Linked DNA regions of Tamandua tetradactyla. The protein of the gene in region 3 purifies or fractionates together with the protein of the main gene of each other region. This does not show direct contact. Links are inferred from orthologs where the notes say so. Each region holds a gene or a part of one and is shown on either strand. Other genes may lie near its edges.

Region 1 (8,067 bases), on a different chromosome or scaffold from region 3:
GTTGATTCCCATAATCAACTTATGATTCCCATAAGACCAACTGGAGACTCGACCTGTTCCGTACATTAGAATCACTGAGAGGCTTTCTGAAAATACTCATGTCCAAACCTTAGAATCAGAATCTGAGCACGGGACCCAGGCTGGGGAAGTTAGTAAGCTCCCACACTTCCCCGTGACTGCTGAGACTGACTCAGAACCAGCAGCCAGACCAATCACGGTGATCTCATGGCGGACAGATTCTGCCCAGAGAGGAGGGAAGGGGGAAGGAGAGGGGTCTGGGAAGTTTCCTCTCCAAGAGAGCCACAGAAACGGTTCTTCTTTCTTTGGATGTGAGCCCGGGACCAGCTGTAGCCACACCGAGGACAGCAAAGCAGAGGCACAAAAAATCATGGATCCAGATGACAATGATGAGTCACTTAATCAACTGGCCCTAAAATATTTCCTACCTTTGGGCTTCCAAAAGCATCCTAGCTGATGAAAAAAGATCACCAACCCACAGGGTCCTCACAGGACCTTTAAAATTCACCTTCTGTTCATACACAAATATCAGGGAAAGAAGACATTAAATAAAAATGTAAAGGTGCTGAAGGATAAAAAGATCAAGGAGGTTTCAAGGCAATTGTTTAAGTTTATATATTCTGATAAGCCAGAAGGTTGTACATGTTACCCATGTGTAAGAGGGTCCTGTGATTTTCCAAGAGAAGGTAGGAGAGGGAGGAAAGGTCCAATGAGACTGGCAGTGTGTTGCCCTTAGTGAGAGAGGGGAACGGATGCAAGTGCTGAGGCCCCTTCTCATAGGAAAACCTTAACAGATGAAGAAGGAAATTAAGGCCATTAAAGCAGCTATGAGACCTGTTCCCTTCCCGGAACTGAGGAAGTGTGGCTATTCATTTTTTAAAAATGACTGACAGCACGTGCCAAGCTCTGTTCTAGAAACTGAGGAAGTAGCTGTGCACTTGCCTGTAACCAAAAGTGTACTGTTTCAAAGCCAGGTTTGTGATGGAAAATGGGCTGTAAAGAGAAAACAGGCCCAAGACTGAACAGTCTGGAGCCCACCCTGTGGGTCCCCACTGGCGAGAGCTTTCCGAACACCCCCATGTTCCTAAATCCTCCCCAGCCCACCACGCTTTAACTCTGAGATTGACAGAGTGTGGGCCCTATAGGACACACCTGAATGCTTTCAAGTCTTAACCATGAGGGCTACTATTTTCATAATCAATTTCATAACAATGCAGGCACGATCAGTAGCATCCTACACACAGGCAATGAATTACACAGTCAGGTGTAGTGAGGCAAACTCCAGGTAATTACCTGCATAGGCACTGGCGTGCCAGTGGTTTTAACATCACCTCCCAGCTGATTCAACTCCCTGGTTATCTAACCATTGTTTAATTTATGTCACTGTGCTTTCTTGCCATACTCCACAATTTCAACATATTACCAAGTATTTGTTTTTCCGGCAGTATAGCACAGAACGAAAATCCAATGTAAAAAGCTGAGCCCCAAAGCAAACAGAGTAAATATGTTTGTTTGTAAAAAGAGTTCCAAGCCTAGCCAAGATCTTCCTTTAGAGGGCCTTCAAGTACTTTTCCATAACATCCTTCTCAATATCCCAAGGCCACCAACCATTCTGGTTTTACTTTATCTCCCCAACTCTAGGCATCTTAACCTGTTAGGAGATTCAACATCAAGACCTCACTGGAGTCTTGCATTTGGGGACAACAACAGCCATTCCAGTTGTAGAAAACAAGAGAGGACAATGTGCCCTCCACACCTCGGGGCTCTTCAGGCTAAGCCCGCCCGGTACACGCCCAGGGACTAGAAAATATTATTACACTAGCCTTGCATTTTCCACCCACTGTGAACACAGGCAGATGCGCGGGCAGGAGGAGGCAGAACAGCGAGCACCAAAGCACACCTCCAGGGTTCCTTCAGGTCATTCCCGCCTGCCTGGGCTCCACTGGGAGACGGCACTGCGTGCTGAAATCTCTCTCCCGAGGCAACCCGCCTCGCACACTGGGCCTGGCCAGGTTACAGCCGGAGCGGTTTCCCAGCAGACGACCAGTTCTGTCTGCAGCCAAAGAGGTGAGAGAGCGAGGTGGCCCTGTAAACGTGACGTGCTCAGGAACTAAAGGTTTCCTCCCGGGTCTTGAAAACAGGAGGCGGCAGGAGGGGCGGACACACGGAAGCCGAGCCCCAGTCCTAGAAGGGACTGGACCCAAACGGCCGACGCTGCGTCTGCCGGGGCACCCTGGAAGGGGTGTTCCCGCGCACAGGGCTGTTGGGAGAGCTTCTGGGGTTCAGCAGTTCAGCTTTAATAAAACCTTCCCATCAAAGGTTTATAACACCTAAGGCAGAGTTTTGAATAGGTGAGAAGTTAAAAATCATGCAGAAGAAACCCCGAAAGAGAATATTTTGGCAGAGATGGGGAGAGGACGGCTTAAAACTTCAAAAAGACACCAAGGACCCTCTGGGGAGGGGGCAGGGGCGGGAGATGGGTGTCTACATGCCCGCTCGCCGACGCTGGGGGTGGCTTCTTCAAGGAGGAGCGCGTGTACAGCTTCGGAGGCATTTGTCTTTCTTCAAGGGAGCTGCGGCCACTGCGCTCCTCCCTTCCTCCAGCACTTGGGGGGCTCCTCTCTCCTTCTCATCCGTGCCCCCAAGCAGGGAGACAACGATGCTGCGCACCCCGCTCCCTCTGCACTGCTCCCTACCCGGGCCAGGGTCCGCGCGCGCCCCGGGCGTCCCCAGCGCGCCCCGGGCAGGGCCAGCCTTGGCCGGAAGCAGTTCCGCGGTTTTCTTGCCCGGAGACCGGCCAGGGCTGAGGCGCTGCGGCCGCTTCCCGGGTGGGGACGGGGATCGGACACCCACCCGGCGGCCCGCGCGCTCCCCGCCCAGCCCCGGGGTGGCCACGTCTCCCCCCGGCGCGCCCCAGCGCCCCTGGGCTCACCGACGAAACGCTTCCTCCAGGATGGAGCAGGCGGGGCCGGCCGTGGACCCGGGGCCGTGGCTGATGAGGAAGCGCTCGGGGGCGAGGTGCAGAGCGCTCGGGGACAGCTTCACCGACAGCGGCTGCGGCCACAGCGCCGGCCCCGAGGCGCGCAGGGCGGGCGCCAGCAGCAGGGCCAGCAGGGCGGGCAGGGCCAGCCGGGGCGGCAGGGACGGCAGGGGCGCGGGCGCGCGGCGCGGGGCTCGCTGCTCCATGGCCTCCGCGCTCTCCGCGGGCCGCCCAGCTGTCGCCGCTGGACCTTTGTCCGTCCCGGCCCGGGAGGAGGCGGCGCCGACGCGCGTGAGACGCCGAGTCAGGTGACCGCGCCCGGCCCGCTCCCCCCAGCCCCTGGTCCGCCCCCGCCCCGCTCAGCTCCGCCCCCCAGCCCCGGGTCCGCCCCCGCCCCGCTCAGCTCCGCCCCCCAGCCCCGGGTCCGCCCCCGCCCCGCCCCCGCTCCCCCCACCAGCCCCGGGTCCGCACCCGCAGGCCCAAGCCCGCGGGTGGCCTGTAGAGCCTCCCCCGCCTGAAGCGGAAACCGACGCCCGGCATTTAAGGGAGGAGCCCGGCGGGCAGAGCGTGGGACGCCAGCCCACGGTGACCCGGGACACCCAACTGCCCGCAGAGCCCTGGGGCAGCGAACCCGCAGGAGCCAGGCCTTTGGGGCCCTCTGTTCCATCCCAGTCTCCACAAATACCAGATAACTGACGTGGTGACTTAAGTTACTTAATCCTACATCTAGCCTTTTCTGTAACAGCATTTCAGCTTTAATATAACCTTCCCATCAAAGGTTTATAATGCCCAAAGCGGAGTTTTGAATAGGTGAGAAGGTAAAAATCATGCAGAAGAAACCCCGGAAGAGAATATTTTGGCAGAGATGGGGAGAGGACGGCTTAAAACTTCAAAAAGACACCAAGGACCAAGTTAATAGGCAGATGATGCCAAGAAGAAATACATTTGTGACAAGGGTTAATATTGTCAAAGTATAATTTTCAAAGAAGGTTTAAAACGTGATGCAGATCACAAAACAAGTCTCAGTAAACTGAGATATTGATTATGCGATATATCTTCTCTGACCACAAAGGAATGAAGCTAGAAATCGTTTACAAGGGAGAACAGGAAAACTCACAAATATGTAGAAATTAAACAATTCACTCAGACAACCAGTGGGTCAAAGAAGCACTCACAAGAAAATGGGTAACCCTGAGATGAATGAGAATGAAAGCACAGCCTACCATCTTATGGGATACAGCAAAGGTAGTACTTAGAGAAATCTGTAGTTGTAAATGCTTACATTAAAAAACAAGAACAAGTCAGTACCTTAACCTCACACCTGGAGGAATTAGAGAGAGAAGAGCGAACTAAATCCAAGATGAGCAGAAGGAAGGAAACAGTAAAGATTAGTGCACTGATAAATGAAATAAAGAGGTGAAAACAGAGAGAAATGACAAAAGTTTAAATTAGTTCTTCCAAGTGATCAATAAAATTGAAAAATCTTAAGCTGACAAAGAAAAAGAAGAGGATGCTGGTGACTGAAATCAGAAATGAAGGGGAGAACATTACTGCTGAGCTCACTGAAATATAAACACCTATAAGAGGATACTTTGAACTACTGTATGTCAACAAATTAGAGAACCTAGATGAAATGGAAAAATTCCTAGGAACATGCAAACTACCTACACTGACTGAAGAAGAAATAGAAGATCTCAACAAACCAATAACCAGTAAAGACATTGAATCAGTAATCAAAACCTCCCAACAAAGAAAAGTCCAGAACCAGATGGCTTCATTGGTGAGCTTTTATTTATTTATTTATTTTTGCATGGACAGGCACCCGGAATCGACCCTGGGTCTCTGGCATGGCAGGCGAGAACTCTGCCTGCTGAGCCACCATGGCCCACCCTTCACTGGTGGATTTTAGCAACCATTCCAGGAAGAATTAATACCAATCCTGCTAAATATTTTCCAGAAAATTGAAGAAGAGGGAGCACTTCCTAATTCATTCTTTGAGGCCAGCATCACCCTAAAACCAAAGCCAGATAAAGATACCACATGAAAAGAAAACTATGGACAATATCCCTTATGACAATAGATGCAAAAATCCTCCACAAAATCCTAAAGGACACTTATAATCTGATTCTATTACGAAATAGAATGAAACTGTGTCTAGGTTTTTACTCAACTCATTAATTAATGAATTAGTATGATATTTTCAAAATCATTAGAGCTATGGTTTTGGTTTGTCCAACATCCTTTCTCTTTCTTCTGGTGACAGAAACCCTCTTCTCCCTTTGGGAATGTTGGCGTCTCCATTCCATGCTGGTCATGTGACTTCACCAGCTTTGCCATAGGGGTGATTGAGACCAAGCCTTGATTGTTTTGGGATCCTTGATCAGGACTGGTATGGGTGGCTGAGGGACATGTGCTTTCTTTAAAGGGGTCCCTGCTACCCAGGCTGCCACTGACCATCATTATCGTAAGGAGGAGGATAAGGTCAATGCTGAGAAAAACTGAGTGGAAAGATAGAGATACATGAGGAGAGAAGAAAGTCTAATTGATGACATTTGAATCCATGGATTCAGCCACATTGTTTCTGATTGCTCTAGATCTGCTATTTTCTCTCTAAATAGTATATAGAGAGGCCTGTCACAAATGAATATTTAAGCTGGGAATTCATTATAAGCAGAGTTTTGTTTTGTTTTTTTGCTTGTTTTCTTGTGTTGTTGTTTCTTGGGTAGGGTCGAGTTCCTATAGGACACTAACCAATTTTTGACTCATTTAGTCATTTTATTCTAACATTGCTTCATTAAATAGTCTTTGAATCAGATTTATCATTGTCCGTAATTAAAAATGCCTAATCCTCACCATGGCCCACAGGGCGTGGCGGAATCTGACCTCTGCTCCTGTCACTGACCTCAGCGCTCTACCCTTGATCACCCTGCCTCAGGTGCATGACCTTTCAGTTCCTTGAATTCACGCAGCTTTCTTCACCTGCCAGGGTGCCAGAAGACACCAGCGAGATGGGGATGAGAAAGAGAACAGCAGGTCCTGTTGTTCCCTGGGCCGAGCACTTTTACATGTACCAACGTAGTTCAACAGCGGTGGTCGACCAGTTAGCCGCAGGGAGTAAGGACGGCAGGAGGGACTTAAGGGGAGTGATCAGATTTTAGGCGCAGACTGTGGGTCAGTAGCTTCTCAGTCATTCAAGATTTAGGTGCAGAGAATAAAATCCACTCTGGTTCCTCAGACAGGAATTGACTACAGACTAGCTAGTGACTCATAGAATCCTTGTGAGACCTAAGAACTCAACTCTTGGCTGAAACTGCAGGAACTACTGCTTCTGTCATGATCAGGAAGCTGCATGCTGTTGGAAAATCCTCTGCTATGGGTTCTAGTTCTAGAGTCACACCATTTCACAGCCTGTGCCAACAAAGCGGACCCCTCCTGCCCTGTCTCTCTCTCCAGCGAACTCACTTCTGTCTTCAAGTCTCACATAATTACATGTAACTGGCAGAAACTTAACATCCAACCACAGCAGCGAGGTGGTCTGGGGAATGTCGGTTCCAACGTCTCCAGGGTAGGAAACTTACTCGGAGGAGGTTGGAACTGACACCGCCTGAGCCACTGCAGCCTCAGACCTGCACAAGCATGTGGGCAAAGCACCTCGCTCCTGAGGGGTCCTGGACAGCCCGGGGAGCGAGGTGAGCCCCTGACACTGGACGTGCATCTTTCCTCTGGCTCCATTTTCCTGATCTCATGGGGTATCGATAAGCAATCCTGAAGCATTTGTGCATTGCCACTGCAATCATGAACACTGGGATTGCGCTTCATTTGGCATGGGGTGCTAAGGTGGACTCTTCCACGAGGGAAAGAAGGTTTGTGGTGAAACTTGGTCTGGCAAGCATTTTTCCCTGCTTTACTAAGATTAGCCCTAGAAGCCACTTTCTCATTTTGTTATCTGGTAAACTGCAGCACCTGGTGGGAATTTGAGCTGTCTTGCTCTCCAGCATTTTGCTTCCGCCTTCCTCTGTTGATGAATAGAATTTATACAATTTTGGAAAAAAAGAATTTATATCATTTTGGTATTCATTTGACTTGTTGGGGCAGGCTAAGTACCAAAGGCTAACAAAAAAGTGTCATCCACCCCGGGGCATTTTAGTAATCAGGAGCTACTGTGATGCCACAAAATGAAAAGATACAGTAATACACTAAATTACTAGGTGACTTTTAAAAAATATATTTTATCGAAAAAATCTTCATACACAGACAATCCATACATGGTATACAATCAGTGGCTCACAATATCATCATTTAGTTGTGTGTTCATCACCATGATCATTTTTAGAACATTTGCATCACTTCAGGAAAAGAAATAAAAAAATAAAAAGAAAAAACTTACAGATCCATCCCCCTTACCCCTCCTTCTCGTTGACTACCAGTATTTCAATCGACCCAATTTTTTTATCCTTTACCCCCCCATTATTTATTTATTTACTCATTATTTACTTTTCATCTTTTTTTTTTACTCATCTGTCTACACTCTGGATAAAAAGAGCATCAGACACAGGGTCTTCACAATCACACAGTCACATTGTGAGAGCTATATCATTATACAATCATCTTCAAGAATCAAGGCTACTGGAACACAGCTCTACAGTTTCAGGTACTTCCTTTAGCCACTCTTGATACACCATAAACTAAAAACGGAGATCTATTTAAGGCTTAAGAGTTACCTCCAGAATAACTTCTTGACCCCATTTGAAATCTGTCAGCCACTGGAACTATATTTTGTCTCACTTCTCTCTCTTCCCCCTTTTGGTCAAGAAGACTCTCTCAATCCCATTATGCTGGGTCCCAGATCATCTCGGGAGTTCTTTTTCCCACGTTGCCAGGGAGATTTACACCTCTGGGAGTCATGTTCCACATGGGGGGAGGGCACTGAGTTCACCTGCTGAGTTGGCTGAGAGAGAGAGGCCACATCTGAGCAACAAAAGAGGTTCTCTGGGGGGGTGGGAGTGACTCTTAGGCAGAATTATAAGTAGGCTTAGCATATCCTTTGCAGGAATAAGTTTCAGAGAAGG
Region 2 (7,640 bases), on a different chromosome or scaffold from region 3:
TCTCTGTCCTCTTCCTTGTAAGACTGGGCTACAGCCTGCCCCTGGCAGCCATCACGGTAACTAACCTAGTAACCAGGTCTGGACCAGGGTCCCCACCCTAGGCTTGGCACACTTTGCCTCCTTTAACTCAGGCTGCTAGTCTTGACCCCATTTTACTGGGATGCAGGGAAGGTGGTGGCTATTCAACAGCATTTGAACCCGGGCTGGCTGATAGGCCATGCTCTGTCCTGCCTGGCCAGGATTCAGCATGTCACACAGCCTGGGATTGCTCCCTGCAAGGGGCAAACACCCCAGTTCCCCCAGTCCCCCCTCCTGCCAAGGAAGAACAAGTAGAGGGAGCATGAAGTAAGGCTGCCACCTTGTGGTGGCGGTAAATAACTACAGGATCAGTTTCCCAGACAGGAGGCCTGAGACACCACTTGGTGGGGGTGGGGCAGGGGGAGGGGAAGACAGACTAACACACCCAGACACACTCACATCTGTCCCTAACACTTTATTGGTTCCCCCCAAGCCTGTGCCCAGCTGAGTGGGATCTGGGCAGAGGGGATTTCTCAGGTCCCAGGTGGGGGCATCAGAAGAACCTTGGGGCCCCAAACCGGGAAGCTACAGGGGTCTTTCCTAGGGTCAGCACTGGGCACCCAGGCAGCGGCGTGGCTGAGGGCAGAGGGCCCAAGCTTCACCCGCCTGCTGGCCTAGTTGTGCTTGGCGAAGTATTCCTTGCTGTCATCCACGTTGGGCTTGATTGTGTCGCTGCCCGGCTTCCAGCCCGCGGGACAGACTGTGGAAGACATGAGAACTGATGTGTGAGCCTACAGCCCCATTTTCCAGGTAGAGGCAGGGGGGAGGGAGGAACAGATACAAAGCAAGGGCCTGAGTTGCAGTAGAAAAACCTAAGAACCAATTGGTCCAGGCTCAAAAAGAGAAGCCCCATCCCATCACCCTCCAAGCACCTGTTTATCCTCACAGGCCCAGCTGCAGTATCTTCTGCCTCATCATTTTCCTTCTCTTATTCTCACTTGCTTTTTGGTGTTTTCAACCCCATGTCTCACCCTCAGCCCCAGTGCTACTGGACTTGAGCATCTACATTCAGACTCTTTAACCAGGATCCAACTAACATACCCCAAGCCTAATGTGCTATATGCAACCTCGAATACCTTCTATGGTTCCCTATGACCTCCCAGCTGCGCACCCTTACAAGGAGGCATCTCCTCCACCAGACTAGAAACTCCTTGAGCTGAACCTTCTTTGGGGGCCCTAACATGCCCCTACCCCTGCTCAGGTGATAGGGCAGGCAGTGATTGTTTGCAAGAGCCACTGAGAGGCTCTCTGTGTGTCCACTCACCTTCGCCATGCTCATCCGTGTACTGGAAGGCCTGGACTAGGCGTAGGGCCTCTTCCACGGAGCGTCCCACGGGCAAGTCATTCACTGTGATCTGACGAAGGATTCCCTTGCCATCGATGATAAACAGGCCCCTGAAGACATCAGGGTTCAGTAGTGAGGAGCTGGGACACTCCCTGTGGCCAGGAGCTGGAGGGAGCATGGACCACCTCCAGCCACAGAGCTGGGGATAGAGGGGAAATGGGAAGGGGGCTCCCTGAGGGTGGGGGAGGGTCCCTCAGTACCTGTAAGCAATGCCCTCATCTTCCTTCAACACCCCATAATCATGGGACAGGCTTCTGGTCACGTCAGCCAGCAGGGGGATGTTCAGCGGGCCCAAGCCTCCCTCTTTCCGCGGGGTGTTGATCCTGGGGGTGGGGGAGACAGGGCTGGGGCCTCAGGAGGTCCCACACAGTGAGATCCTTACCCTTTGCGCCTGGGTGATAAGGGCTGGAGTGGGATGCTGGAGGCAGGAGATATTGGGGCCCTGGGAGTACCACCCACCCCACCCTGAACTGGGTGCAGGAGCTGTTTCCCACAGCTGGGAAGACTAAAGCCCCTGCACTCATGTGCAGGCTTATGCTCCAGCAAATCCTCTTTAGGCATCCTCATGGCCTCCAGCCTGAGGCAGGGATCCTGCCATCACATCTCCATCCTCCTTCCCTTCCTGGAACTGGACTTTCCACCTTCAAGTACTAAGGCAATCCCGCCTTCCTCCCAGGGACTATAGGGAAAAAAAGCATGTGCAACTCCCAAGCCAAGCAGCTCGTTTCCACATGCTCATTGCTGTCAGCAATCCTTAATGACCAGGGTGTTTTCCATGGAAATAATTTCCGTGATTCTCAAGGTGGTGAAAGGGAGGGTAAGAGGTTGAGCAACGGCGAGGCCAGCACGGACGACGCTAGGATGGGAACCTAGTTGCGCCCCACCCTCCCCCTCCCCCCAGTCCCGGCTCCTACCAAGCTAGGTGGGTGAACTGGGAATCGACAGAGGCTCCTAGCACCTCGCAGCCCAGCTTGCGGAAGTCCCCGGCACGCTCGCTGAAAGCGATGATTTCGGTGGGACAAACGAAGGTGAAGTCCAAGGGGTAGAAGAAAAGGACCACGTACTTCCCTGGGTTGGGGGTGGGAGTGGAGAGGTCGCGCGTTAAGGCCCAGGCCTCCTTCTGCCCGGGCCCCACCCGCACCTGGGGTCCCTCACCTCTGTAGTCCGAAAGCTTCACCTCCTGGAAGGCGCCGTCCACCACGGCCGTGGCGTGGAAATCCGGGGCGGGCTTCCCGATGTGCGCGTGGCCGGAGGCCATGGCTGAAAGCTGAGACCCCCACGCCCCACCCCCAGCCGGGTCAGCGCGCCCCGGAGGCCCCTTTGTCCTCCTTTCCCAAGGTCACACTGCGTGCGGACCGCGGAGACCGAGCGAGAGCGGCGCAGCCGGCAGCGGTGACCCCCTCCCTCCCCGGTACCGGGTATTGCGCGGCCCCGAGGCTGCTGGGGACCCGGCCCCCTTGACCGCGGCACGTGCGGCCTGGCCGCTACCGCCGGGTCCCCAGTTCGCGCGTCGGAGGGAGCGCGGTGGCTGCGGGGTCCCCACCCAGTGCCGGGAGGAGACGGCAAGGGCCCCCGCGAGCAGGGGGCGGGGACTCCGGCCGCCCGGCCTCGGTTTCCCCTGCAAGGACAAAGGCGGCCGCTGCAGAGGGCGGAAAACAAAGGGCGGCCAGCGATCGGTCCGGATTCCGGCGGGGGCGGCTGGGAAGGGGCTCCTTCCCGAGCCCGGTGCACCCGGGGTGGCGGTACCTGCGTGGACACGGGCGGGACGCACGGACGCAGCAGAAGCGCGGCCTCGGATTTCTCAGCCCCAAGTGCGCGCAGGGCTGCCAGGCCTTTTATGCCCGGCCGGAACCATGACGCGCGCGGGGGGGGTGAAGATGAGCTGAGCCGCCGCGTCCACTGCGCCGGTTTCGGTGGGGGGTGGAGAGCGAGCGGGTGGCCGGGTCCATATGCCCGCGAGCGGCAGGGGGTGGTGGTGGTGGTGGAGGGGAGACATGCAGCCTCCGGGCCCGACCACTGTGCGGATCCGCGGGGGTAGCGCGGGCACGGCGCGGGGCTCCAGCCCCGAGCGCGCCGCGGGCGGTTGGAGCTCGGCATGGCCCGAAGGCGGGCGGCGCTGCTGCTGCTACTGCTGCCCCTGGCGCTCCAGCTGCTGGCAACCCCCTCCGAGGGCTCCCCGGACTACCAGTACTTTGGCGAGCAAGGCGAAGGCGACATCTGGGAGCAGCTGCGGCAGCAGCAGCAGGAAAAAGGTAACCGCAGGGCGGCCGGGGTGAGGGCGCCTAGAGGTGCCCCCCTCACCCCTGCTTTCCCCGGGACGGCAGATCCCGGCTGGGCTCACCACACTGGTTGCGTCTGATTGGGCTGGTTACTTCTCTCTGAGGCTGTTTTTCCATCTGTCAATTGGAAAGGAGATTGCCTTTTAAGCGGCTCATAGCTGGAGAGGGGGCGTGGGCCGGCAATAAAAGCAGATGCACGTGAATTTGTTGTGGGTAAAAGAGCTAGGAGGGCGGGGATGGAGAAAGAAGCTGGAGATCAGCTTGAAAAGTCAGAAGAGGTCCCGGTGGAGGAGATAGAAATCCATTATGAAGCCAAGGCCAAAGATGCAAAGATGCCTTGGGAGGGTGAGTGGGGAAAGAATGGTATGCCAGGGAGAGGGACCCAAAAATGCAAAAGCCAAAAGGCCCAAAAGAGGGCAGGGAAAGGAAAAGGGCTAGGGTGGCAGAGACCTAGAGAAGAAGAGATGGTAGGGAACAAATGAGGTGTCAAGGCCCTGTGAGCAGGCCGTGGGTTTAAGACTGGTGACAGGTTTCTATCTGGTAAGTCCATAAGAAGTGGCAGCTGCTTTAAAAGAATCATAATTGTTTTTGTTCTGTGTGCTAGAACAGCGCCAGAGGCTTTAAGTATCCTCATTCTGTCATTTGATTATGTCATTTAATTTACCATCTGACAGCCCTGCTGGTCTGGTGGCATGGTGCCTGCTGGACAGGTGTCCCAATAGCCAGCACTGAGGGTCTTCTACCACACTCCCAACGGGGCAAGCTGGCACAGGTCGGAAGTGTCAGTTTGCAGTCCCCCTGGGCCGCTCAGCAGATGGGTGAGCTCAGAAGGGTGACTTGCCCTCTCTAGGTCTCAGTTTCCCCACCTGGGACTAGTGGCCATCCCTCTCCATCAGGATTGCTGGGAAGATTGAGAGGAACTGGTCAGAGGCAGAGCCCCAGGAACAGATATGAGCTGGGGTTATTTGTTAGTATCTTTTTTGCCTCCGCCCCAGAGGAGGGTAGAGGCAGGTAGGTCCTCCCCCCCCCCGCCCCACCCCCAAACACAAACCTGGGTCTTTTTCTCGGCCCTTTCCCCCAGACCTGGAAGACTCGATCCTGAGCCCGTGGGGAAAGTGGCGCTGTGTCTGCGACCTGGGGAAGCAGGAGCGCAGCCGGGAGGTGGTGGGCACGGCGCCAGGCCCAGTGTTCATGGACCGAGAGAACCTGGTGCAGGTGCGGCCTTGCCGGCAACGGGACTGTCCATCTTGCCAGCAGGACCAGTGCCATTGGAGGCCCTGAGGCCGGGTGAGAGAAGGGCGTGGAGAGGACAGGCCAGGAGGGGACTGTCAAGTCCAGGGGCATTAGGTTCAGGGGTGAGGATTGGGGATCCACAGACAGAAGGCGTGCACCCCACTGACACCTGGGGAGAAGGGAAGACAGTCAATGGGGGCGAGGACGGGGGAACCAGGACCCTGAGGTTCAGGGGCGGTGGCCTAGGGTCCAAGGCTCTGAGCCCCGCTGAGACGCGGGGGGTGAAGGAGAAACCCGATTTGGGGTTATCAGCCTGCAGCAGGCGGGCGTCGACCTTGAGCCAGGATTGGTAATTGGGGTCTGGGATCCTAATTTGGGGGTCCGGGAGGCTTAGCCCAAACGAGAGGGTAGGGGGGCAGGGACTGTGGGGGAGGAGGGTGGATCCGAGTGAGCGACTGAGAGAGGAAGGGTAAGGGCCACAATTCGAAGGCCTGAGCCCAGGAAGGGGCAGCGATACCTAGTCCAGGGGGCTTGGGCTGGGCCGAGGGCGGGGCGTCAGGGACCCGGAGTCCAGGTAGGAGACAGGAACACAGTGAATGTGGAGTGACCCTTTGTTCTGGAAGCTAGTGGTATCTGGTCTTGTAGGCTCCGAAAGGGCCGGGTCTTTTCATGTCCCCGCCTCAGTTTCCTTCTCCTGGCACCAGACCCCGCCGTCCGGGCTTCGGAGTCCCCGGGGCGGGGCTTGGAAAGTGGCCCCGCCCATCCCGCGTCTCAACCTGAGTGTTCCGCGGTCGGCCTCAGAAACTACAATTCCCAGGAAGCCACGTGGCGGCGACGGCGTCTGCTGGACGGCGTCGGGGGCGTGTCCTGCGCGCTGATTGGTCGGGAGCGAGCGCGCCAGAAGAGCGCCGAGAGCTGCGCGGACACGCCCTCTTCCCGCCGCTGGAGGCTGTGGCCCAGGCGGCGGCGGTATGGATCTCAGTGAGCTGGAGAGAGACAATACGGGCCGCTGTCGCGTGAGCTCGCCGGTGCCCGCAGTGTGCCGCAAGGAGCCCTGCGCCCTGGGCGTCGATGAAGCAGGCCGGGGCCCCGTGCTGGGTGCGCCCCCGGGGCCCGGGGGTGGGGGAGGGGCGCGATAATGGGGTGCGCTTCGCCCATGACCCAGGAGGGCCGGTGATGGCGATGATGATGGCGGCCGTGACATGAACCGGTGGGCGAAAAGAGCGGTGATGGAACAGGGATGAGCGCTTTGAGGAGCTCACTGCTTGGATTCGCCCAGAAATCTGACCCCCTTCCTCTCCAGGCCCCATGGTCTACGCCATCTGTTATTGCCCCGTGTCCCGTCTGGCAGATCTGGAGGCCCTGAAAGTGGCAGGTGAGTCTGGGGTGGTGGGGGGCGGGGATCGGGCGGTTCCGGGGCGTGTGGAAACTGGTGGAGGAGGAGGAGGAAGAGGGCAGGAACCTGGAGAACCAGCGCCCTCCTTCTCTCCCAATCCTCCTCCCAGACTCAAAGACCCTGTCGGAGAGCGAGCGGGACAGGCTGTTTGCGAAAATAGAGGAGGACGGGGACTTTGTGGGCTGGGCACTGGATGTACTGTCTCCAAACCTCATCTCTACCAGCATGCTCGGGCGGTGAGGGGTCCCCTGGGAGGGGCGGGATGGAGGGGCAGCCAACGCCCTGAGGGAGGCAGAGAGCACTTGCTCACTGGGCCCTTTGGCTGGAAAGGGGTTAACCAGGCTGTGTCCCCTACCTCAGGGTCAAGTACAACCTGAACTCCCTGTCCCACGATGCAGCCGCCGGGCTGGTGCAGTACGCCTTGGACCAGGGTGTGAAAGTCTCCCAGGTGAATCTGCTGACAGGTATCAATCAGAACTACTCTGATACCTGGATTGCTCCCACCTCAGGATAAAATGGGGGTAAAAAACGCAGATTGAGCATTAGATGCATTACAAGTGCCTCATGAATGTCTGAATGTTTGCTGTTGACATCCTCTCCTGTCCCTGCTCCAAACTGCAGGCTTCACTGAGAACTACCTTGGAGCCCCCAGCCCCTCACTCTCCCATCTAACCTACCCTCCAATCCTAAATGCTCAGTGTCCAGAACAAATCTCATCTCTGCCTACTTGTCCTCAGCCTCTGTCCTCGCTCAGGACTTCCCCCTTGCTGGGATGCCTGTCCTGGCCTCCTCCATGGCCCCTCTACCACCAGTGTTACTTCCCTTTGGTCTGAGCCCCACCCAGCAGACGCAGTCATCTCTGTAATATGTAAATTTCAACATTTCCTAATAATAGTGGAAATTAAATTTGGAAAACTCACAATTTAAGTGGGAAAGGTGAGGATTGAGTGACCAGAGGAAAACAGATTCCTTGCATTGAGTGCCCTGAGGTGAAGGGGCTGTTTGGAGAGAATTACAAGGAGAAGTACTTGAGGCTGGGACAGTGTAGCAAGGAAAAAGCCCCCATCCCCACACTGAGGAGATGGCAGAGGGCAGAGAGACAGGGGCCCAGCCCTTGGGGGTTCAGGACCTAGTCAGGGGAGACAGTCCGCTGGTAAACAAAAGAATAAAGGTAATTTCTGAAAAAGATAACTGCTTCAGAGACACCTGCCACCTCCCAATCTCATCCCTCACCATTCTACATCAGCCACAGCCTCCTGTTCTCCAGCATACCTGATACAGCCTGACTTCCGGACCATTGCACTGGCTG
Region 3 (7,737 bases):
AACTTCTCAAAGTTTCCCTCTCCTTCTTTCAAAAAGTTCACAATTTGGTAATGACAGCTTTGTCATTTACTTAGATTATTCAGACATGTAGAAGGAGCTAATGCCACTTTTACAATGTTTTCAATTTGTTTCCTAGTTACTAGTGTTTATTTCTTAATATAAAGAGTAAATCTCTTTCCTTGTACGTCACTTCTTTTGTATTTCGCTTAGTTCTGCCATTTTCCTACCATTCATATGAAAAATACAATATTTTGGAGAACTTTGAAGCAAGGGCCTTGGTGACAATCCCTTTGTGATGTGTGATATGAAGATTAACAGATAACTATATATTTACAGAGAATGATGACCACATAAAAAGGAAATCGCCTTGGGCCCCAGAAGAAAAAGATGATTTAGGAAAGAGGAAGGTGAGATAAAGGGAAGAGAGAAGAACGAGGGATAAGAAAGTAAGAGGAAGAAGAGAGAAAAGAATGGAAATGCAAGACCGAACTTGCTGTCCACCTTCTAACTCACTCCTTAGCCCCAGGAGTCCCTGAACACGAGTTTTTCATTCTCAGGAATGTCAATATGACCTATTGTAAACTGCTTAGTCATCAGCACATGCCACCATCTGATCCGAGCCACCATACCTCATCATCCCTGCAAAATCAGAACGTCTCTCTGGATTGTCATCCTTTGACCATCAGATTCAAATCAACTTCCAGTGCTCAAGCCACTTAAGCTACTGTAGGGTTCTCTCAACTTCTTGGATATTATGACTCTCAAAGGGACCAGACAGGCACAAGAGGGAATTTTCAAGATTGCATGTCTGAGTCATCAGGGTATACCCCAATCTGGAACACATGGACTCCGAGTCAAGATTTTGGGACAAGTGCACCTCCAAACCATAGCATCATGGACTCTTATAGTTGGAATGAACAGACCTGCCCTAACACTTGCAGGGTGGGGCAAGAATAAAAATTGAGGCTCTCATAAAGTAGGCTAAACATTTAAATGCTATAGAACAAGATAACATAGTTAAATGTAAGGTGTTCTAGTCTCTCACTCTGACAAATAAACATTCATGAAGACCTGGAAGACAGGTTCAAATGTGGAATTTTGGAAGACTTTGAGTTCTGTCCAAGAAAAGTGGTCATCAAGTAGGCACTGGGCCCTGACCCTGGCCTTTACTTCTTCTTTCCCACTGCTGACTCCATTCTGCACTGAGAGGGGCTGGTAGTTTATACAGCTTAGGTTTATACACGCTAAGTGCACAGTCCTTTGTCTGCCTGTCCAGGCCTTGGAAACCCGCACAGGGCTGTCTAGGCAGGGAAATTCAGGGGCTGCAGTGGTTCTCAATTGGGGGCCATTTTGCCTCCCAGGGACACCTGGCAATGTTTAGAGATGTTTTTGGTTGTCACACTGGAGGGAGCGGTGCTACTGGCATCTTGTAGGTAGAGGCCAGATATGCTGCTAACTCTCCTATAATGCATAGGATAGCCCCCCGCCCCCATAACAGAGAATTATCCAGCCTCAAATGTGAAACCTCTCATTAGGAAGACACAGATACCTGATTTAAATTTTGCTTAATCTTGTTCTAAAAAAAGGGGGTGCAGGGCTCTGGGTGGAGTACCTTCTTGGATCCATAGACTCTTCTCCCCACAGGGCATGTGGCCTGAGAACGGCCAGAGCAGGGCCCTCTGAGCACAGGGCCCAGGGCTGGGGAGTCCCTTGCCCAGGTGAAAAGGCGGTACTAGGAACAAACCTCAGATATTCTCTAATCCTGCCGGACCCCCAACAAGGGGCTGTGCAGGCTTCATCTGAATCTCAAAGGAGGAACAATTCTATCCCAGGGTAGCTCTTTGGAGGCATGGCTGCTTCCTTGGCAAGCTCTTGCAATGAACTGCAACCTGCTTGACAAGAGTTTTAGTTGCTAATCCTGCCAGAAATGCAATATATCAGAAATGGGTTGGTTTTATTTTGGGGGGAGGTGGTGGTGGTGGTAAATGGTCCAGGAATCGAACCCAGGTCTCCTGCATGGAAGATGAGCATTCTACTACTGAACCACACATGCACCCTGGATTGGTTTGTTTGTTTGCTTTTTTAACTTTTTAAATTGTATAATATATACAAAGCAAAGAAATAAAAAAGCAATAGTTTTCAAAGCACTCTTCAACAAGTAGTTACAGGACAGATCCCAGAGTCTGTCATGGGCCACCATACAATCCTCTCATATTTTTCCTGGGTTGGTTTTTAAAAAGGGAATTTATTAAGTTACAAGTTTACAATTCTAAGGCACTAAAAATGCCCAAACTAAAGTATCCAGAGAAAAATACCTTGACTCAAGGAAGGCTGATCTGGGGAGGCATGTGGCTGGCATCTGCTGGTCCTTTGGCTTCTGGTCTCAAACAGCTTCCCTGGTGTCATTTTCTTTCTGCATCTCCGAACATCTCTATGTCAATTCTGAAGCTTCTTCCAAAGTGTTTCCTTCTTAAAAGACTCCAGTAAGTGACACATCTTGAATGAGTAGAGACATCTCCATGGAAACCACCTAATCAAAAAGTCCCACCCACAATTGCGTGAGTCGCATCTCCATGGAAACAACTTAATCAAAAAGATCCCACTCAACAATATTGAATCAAGATTTTAAAAAACTGCTTTTCTGGAGTACACAGCAGTTTAAAACCAGCACAGTTAGTTTCCTGGAACACAAAGAAACTTTGGCCCTGAGTAAAGGCCCTTTGGCCAGGATTTGCAGGTTTATGCAACAGTGTAGCATATGCCAATTGTCTGCAGAATATCAGTAGGCACTGAAAAGCAAAATTAGAATGTGTGCACTTTCTAGAAGATGATTAAAAAAATGTGGAAAGTGAATCCCCAATACTGAATGCATGGGAGCCCAAAGGACTCCAAGATAAGTAGATAATACCCATTTACTTATTTTGGAGCAGCCTCTATTCTTGTTTCACATTGGGTTTGTATTATGACTCAGTATTTTGCATCCTCAAAATGAAATCCTCTCCACCAATCATTAGGGGGAAATGTAGGTTGTACTGAAGAAATTACAGAGAGATGGGGAGAGGATTTAAGTCATAAACAGCAAACAGAAATCTCCAGAAGGCATAGCTTTTCTCTCTTAAGTCTCTTCCTTGTTGGCCCCTACTGGGTTCTCCTTGTCTCTGGATCTTTCCTTTCAGGACACCTTCCTCATTTCCTCTTTTGAGTCAGGTAATTCTAGCTTTTCCCCCAAATCTACACGTCCTCTGGGAATCATAGGGTAGGTACTCTTTCCTTCACTTCTTAGTTTATCAAAGTATTTAGCCAACAAAAATGTGTGCCTATGTTTGGAGAATCCTTACTCTAAGAAAACAAACTCTATTGTTATGTACAACTACACTTTCATTGTAACACATTTTCTAAAAGAACAGCTTTAGTAAAAGTGCCCAGTCTCTTATCTATCCTTCTAGACATTTCTATGCACACAAGTAAATATGTTTCTACTTTAATTTTGACACAAAAAACTGGCTTTGACTATTTCATATTATGCTTTTGAAATATTTTAATTTAAGGATAAGAAACATTCTTTAAATACAGGTATCACAGTTATGTAACCCTTCGTGCATTTTCCTTGGGTATTGCGACAGTGGAGCCGGAGAAGCAGGAGAGGTACATAAAAATTGATCAGTTGTGGCCTTGTCAGACAAGAAAAAGAGGAAAAAAAAAACCAACGCAGAATTCTGTCTTATCAAGTTAAATAACACTGTGTACTAACAAAACTACAGGAAGGAAAGGCCAGGGATTGAGACGCGCCGAGTTCATCACCAATCAAAAAACCAAGCAGAAAATGAAAATCACAAAAAACACAGAACTTGATGCGTCCCAAATTCTAAATAACAAATGAGGCAGTGTTACGTCAAAAGTCAGTTGTACCTAAGGGCACGCCTAGACAAAGTGGCTTCAAATCTTCCAGACGTCCAGAAAACAGACCTCATTTTCTCAGTTTCACGTACTGCAATCCACGGATTACACCGTTTGGAAGAAAACGCTGTTTTTTTCCACGGTTTCAGATTTCTGGACGTTGCACCGCAGCACCGTGGAGGGAGCCAGCGGCCCCTCGGTCCCTCGGCCCCGCCCCCCCCGCCCATTCCGACCAGTTACAACCCGAGGTCCCGCCGGGGGCGGGCGGCGATTGGTTCCGGGCCAGTGTGGGCGTGGCCCGAGGATTCGGCCTATAAAAGGGCCGCCACGCGTCCCTCTCGCTTTGCGCCGGCGTTTTCCGCAGCTTCTCTTCCTGCTGAGTGTCGGGCCTTGCCGGGAGTCATGGTGACCAAGGCCGTGTGCGTGCTGAAGGGCGACGGCCCCGTGCAGGGCACCATCGAGTTCAAGCAGGAGGCAAGGGCAGGCGCCGGGGCCCGCGCGGCGAGGCCAGTCCGCGCACCTGGGCCGCGAGCGGGCGTCCGGCACGGGGGTGCGGGCCGCTCTCGCCACGCCCCCGCCGCGCTCCGGTCTCGGCCCCCGGCCGCGAGCGCTCCCCGCTAACACCCGCGCGCGGCCGCCAAGTGCTGAGTCACCGGGCGGGCCTGGGCGGCGGCGGTGCGTGACCGGCGCGGCCGCGGAGCTGGGCTGGGCCTGAGGGTGGGGTGGGGGTGGGATCCCCGGCCTGCCCCGCCGCGGGCCCGGGAGGGAGGACGCCCACGCCTCTGGGTGGTTATACAGGCTGGGCGGAAGGCTGGACCGCTTTGAAGGGGCTGAGGCCTTTCCTCGGGTGGGCACTTGCCTGGTCTTGAGTATCCCGCGCGCTCCGGGTGGCGCAGTCCGAGGCCCGAGGCCCGGGGCCCCGAGGCGAGAGCTTCCCCCAGGCCGCGCGGGCCTGGCCCGGGCAGACCGGTGGGATCCGGAGGTGGCCGGGCCGGCGTAGGTGCTTTCCCCCTCCAGTTATGCTTTCGGGCTGCGCTTTCAACTTCATGACCCTAGGTCAGGGCTGCGCAGACTACGGGCATATGCGATGCCGCGGCGCGTTTTTGTACAGCCCTCGAGCCAAAGGACGGCTCGTATATCTTGAAAGGACTATGAAAAGTAAGAATATACGGCAGAGACCGTTTGTGGCCCTCCAAAGAGTAGTTTACTGACCCTTAGGCTGGCTCATGGTCAGGCAATGCAGAAGAGCGATTTACGCCTCCAAATTTGACTCAGTTAACTTATTTTTTTCCTTCCCCAAAGCAGTGATTCTCAACCCTAGGTGCACTGTAGATTCATTTGGGGGCGCTTTTGAAAAAGAACTACAGACACTGGGGCCCACGCCTGGAGGGTTATGTAAGAATCTCTCTGAGTGAGGCCTGAGCACCGCTTTTTAAAAAAAGTTGTCAAGTCGATTCTAATGTGCAGCCAGGTAGAGGGTAGTGGGTGGGATTTTGAGATTTGGAAATTAGGGAGACCTTGGGCATTTCAATTGCGTTGAGTTTTCACTTAAAACTCAGGTTTTGGAGATCTTTAACCAAATCCTCTGTAAAATGACTTCAGAACTGCTCTATCGGTAGGCAGCTGGCTGAGATCATAAAAGACCATTTTTCTGAGCAAGTCTTGTAAATAGTAAGAAGTAATATCACTACTAGTGGAAAACACCTGTCTTGCAAGCTTAATAATCATTGGAGTATTTTTAATATGTCAGTGAGATTTAGTCTTAAAAGTGATTTAAAGTGAGTTACAGATGTGATTGGGCAGGAGTGGTAATCTAGGTAGGTGCCCAATCTGTGATTTGGTGCGAGAAAGAATTTACATCAATTGCAATGTTTTCCCCCCCTTTAAGTGGTTCCTAATTTTCTGGAAAAGGCTAGTGAACGTTTGACTGCATTTTACTGTATTTTCATCTGTCCAACTTTGTTTTACTCCTTTTTGTTCCTCTTCACATAACTCACTAACAATAAAGAATCAGAAGCCTCTGAGGGACTCCTCTGGCCTTTGGGAAATGACTCTTACCTAGAGGCACGGAAGGCTGGCCCTGAATCCATATATGTGAACCCTGGAAAGCCTTTTCCTGAGTGTCTTGCAGGTTTTTTTTTAAGTGCCATACTGCATTTTGGTGGTGCCCTTTGTACTTGGTAAAGGTCATTGGAGAGTTGAGCAGTACAACTGTACTGCTATCTGTAGATAACGCAGAGGTAATAGATTGGCTATAAACTGTATTTGGTTTGGCCTTTTCGGTTTTTGAAGTTTTGGATTAGTTCCCAGCTTTTAAAAATGAGAAATTTTCATCCGAGAGCTCAGATTCCTAGCTTTTCTTGAAAAAATTGGACATCTGCCCACACTGAGTCTTCATTTGCCCAGGGTAATACTCCTAAGCAGTTTTTTGCATCCCTTTTTGCTTCCCTGGTCTGTTTTTCTCATTCTAGATGGTGCTGGTACAGCTTAGTGTTGAAGAAAACAGCTTATGTATGCTGTATGTAGTGCCCTTTAAAGGAGGTTTGAAAGACCTTGCCCTTCAAAATACAGTCTTTGAGGGCTCTTGAGAACACATCGCCTTTCGGGGGACGAAATTCATATTTGCATTTTTCTAAACTTAAAGGTTGTACTTCAGAAGAATTATAGACTGTATTCTGCAAAGAAAAGAAAAAAGGTAGCAGTTGCCAACATACTTACTTGGAGCTGTGGAATTTATCCAGTGGAAAGCCAAATTTTAGGACCAGTGACACCTTTGTAATTGCTGGCCCTGGCCATTTAAAAACAAACCAAGCTAAAAACAAAGACATCAACATGTGTATTACTGTATTTTGTGGATGCTGTGTTTTATTATTATTAAGGTCTCCTTGTGGCTGCCAGAGTAACTTCCCTGGTACCTGAATGTAGCCATGCTGTGATGCCTTTGCCTGCATGGCGTGAGTTCTTTGTTTTTACGACTGCTTGAGTGTTTTTATTGTCCTTTCTTTTGAGACTCAGTAGTTAGATTGGAACAGTTATCTCGTTTTCAGTGCCCGAACCAGTACATAGGATTAAACTCATATGGTTAAACTGAGAGGAATGGTTGTACTCATTCCTCCCAGGCAGTAGGATAGGATATATTCTGGCTACTAATAAAAAATCTAGAATGTACAGTAAGTGGAGAGTGGTACAGGGCTCCTAAGGCAGCCAGTTGCCCATTGTCTGGGTGACATTTTTTTCTTTTTTCTTAAGGCAAATCTTTATGTTTGTGATGCAGAACAGTGTCTGATGGAGAAAGAACAGGGTGCTGAAAAGTGTATGATGTGCTGATGTTTGGGTTAAAATGTTTGATGTGTACACGTGCATGCACCATGTTCAAAATGACCTATCCACACGCATTTACAAAATAAGTCTAAATTCGTATTATGTGTCTACTGTAAGAGAGTCAAACCCTTCAAAGTATATACATCTAACATTTAAGTGCTCCCTGTGCTTAGCATTCTCTAGGTCCTTTTAATCTGCTGTTTGATTTCACCATGACGCTTCGCCCCAGTGAGTCAGGGAGTTTACGAACAAGGCCATCAGTCTCCCTTTCCTTCGGTCCCCCAGGGCTGGAGCAGCTAGAAGCTTGCCTGTGGCTCACACTTAGGAAGTGCTGGGTCTGGAGGTTGGACATAGGTTTTTTGGCTTCCAAGTCCATGCTCTCTTCACTTTACAGAGAATAATGAAGAGAAGTCAAATGTTGTCTTTGTCAGAAGCACGTGTTCTCTGAAACTAAGTGTGCTTTTCTTTGAATGTAGGGAACCGGGCCAGTCATTGTGTCCGGAACCATCATGGGATTGA

What was found.
Region 1: the proteins of SOD1 (region 3) and HEXB purify together in Homo sapiens (affinity purification with mass spectrometry; 3 studies listed by BioGRID and IntAct, with this or other methods). This does not show direct contact. The link is inferred for Tamandua tetradactyla from reciprocal best matches to the Homo sapiens genes SOD1 and HEXB.
Region 2: the proteins of SOD1 (region 3) and PRDX2 fractionate together in Homo sapiens (co-fractionation; 3 studies listed by BioGRID, with this or other methods). This does not show direct contact. The link is inferred for Tamandua tetradactyla from reciprocal best matches to the Homo sapiens genes SOD1 and PRDX2.

What each region holds. Positions count from the first base shown.
Region 1 is NC_135347.1:57,697,244-57,705,310, forward strand, and holds the start of HEXB (beta-hexosaminidase subunit beta), read right to left. Parts: upstream 3,302-8,067; 5' UTR 3,205-3,301; coding exon 2,951-3,204; intron 1-2,950. UniProt on the Homo sapiens protein: Hydrolyzes the non-reducing end N-acetyl-D-hexosamine and/or sulfated N-acetyl-D-hexosamine of glycoconjugates, such as the oligosaccharide moieties from proteins and neutral glycolipids, or from certain mucopolysaccharides.
Region 2 is NC_135337.1:89,828,428-89,836,067, reverse strand, and holds PRDX2 (peroxiredoxin-2), read right to left. Parts: upstream 3,302-7,640; 5' UTR 3,170-3,301; intron 2,691-3,169; 5' UTR 2,682-2,690; coding exon 2,579-2,681; intron 2,492-2,578; coding exon 2,338-2,491; intron 1,747-2,337; coding exon 1,624-1,746; intron 1,474-1,623; coding exon 1,343-1,473; intron 779-1,342; coding exon 693-778; 3' UTR 479-692; downstream 1-478. Other genes in the region: ribonuclease H2 subunit A, read left to right, coding at 5,907-6,033, 6,239-6,310, 6,441-6,567, 6,692-6,779.
Region 3 is NC_135336.1:91,659,949-91,667,685, forward strand, and holds the start of SOD1 (superoxide dismutase [Cu-Zn]), read left to right. Parts: upstream 1-4,217; 5' UTR 4,218-4,299; coding exon 4,300-4,371; intron 4,372-7,694; coding exon 7,695-7,737. UniProt on the Homo sapiens protein: Destroys radicals which are normally produced within the cells and which are toxic to biological systems.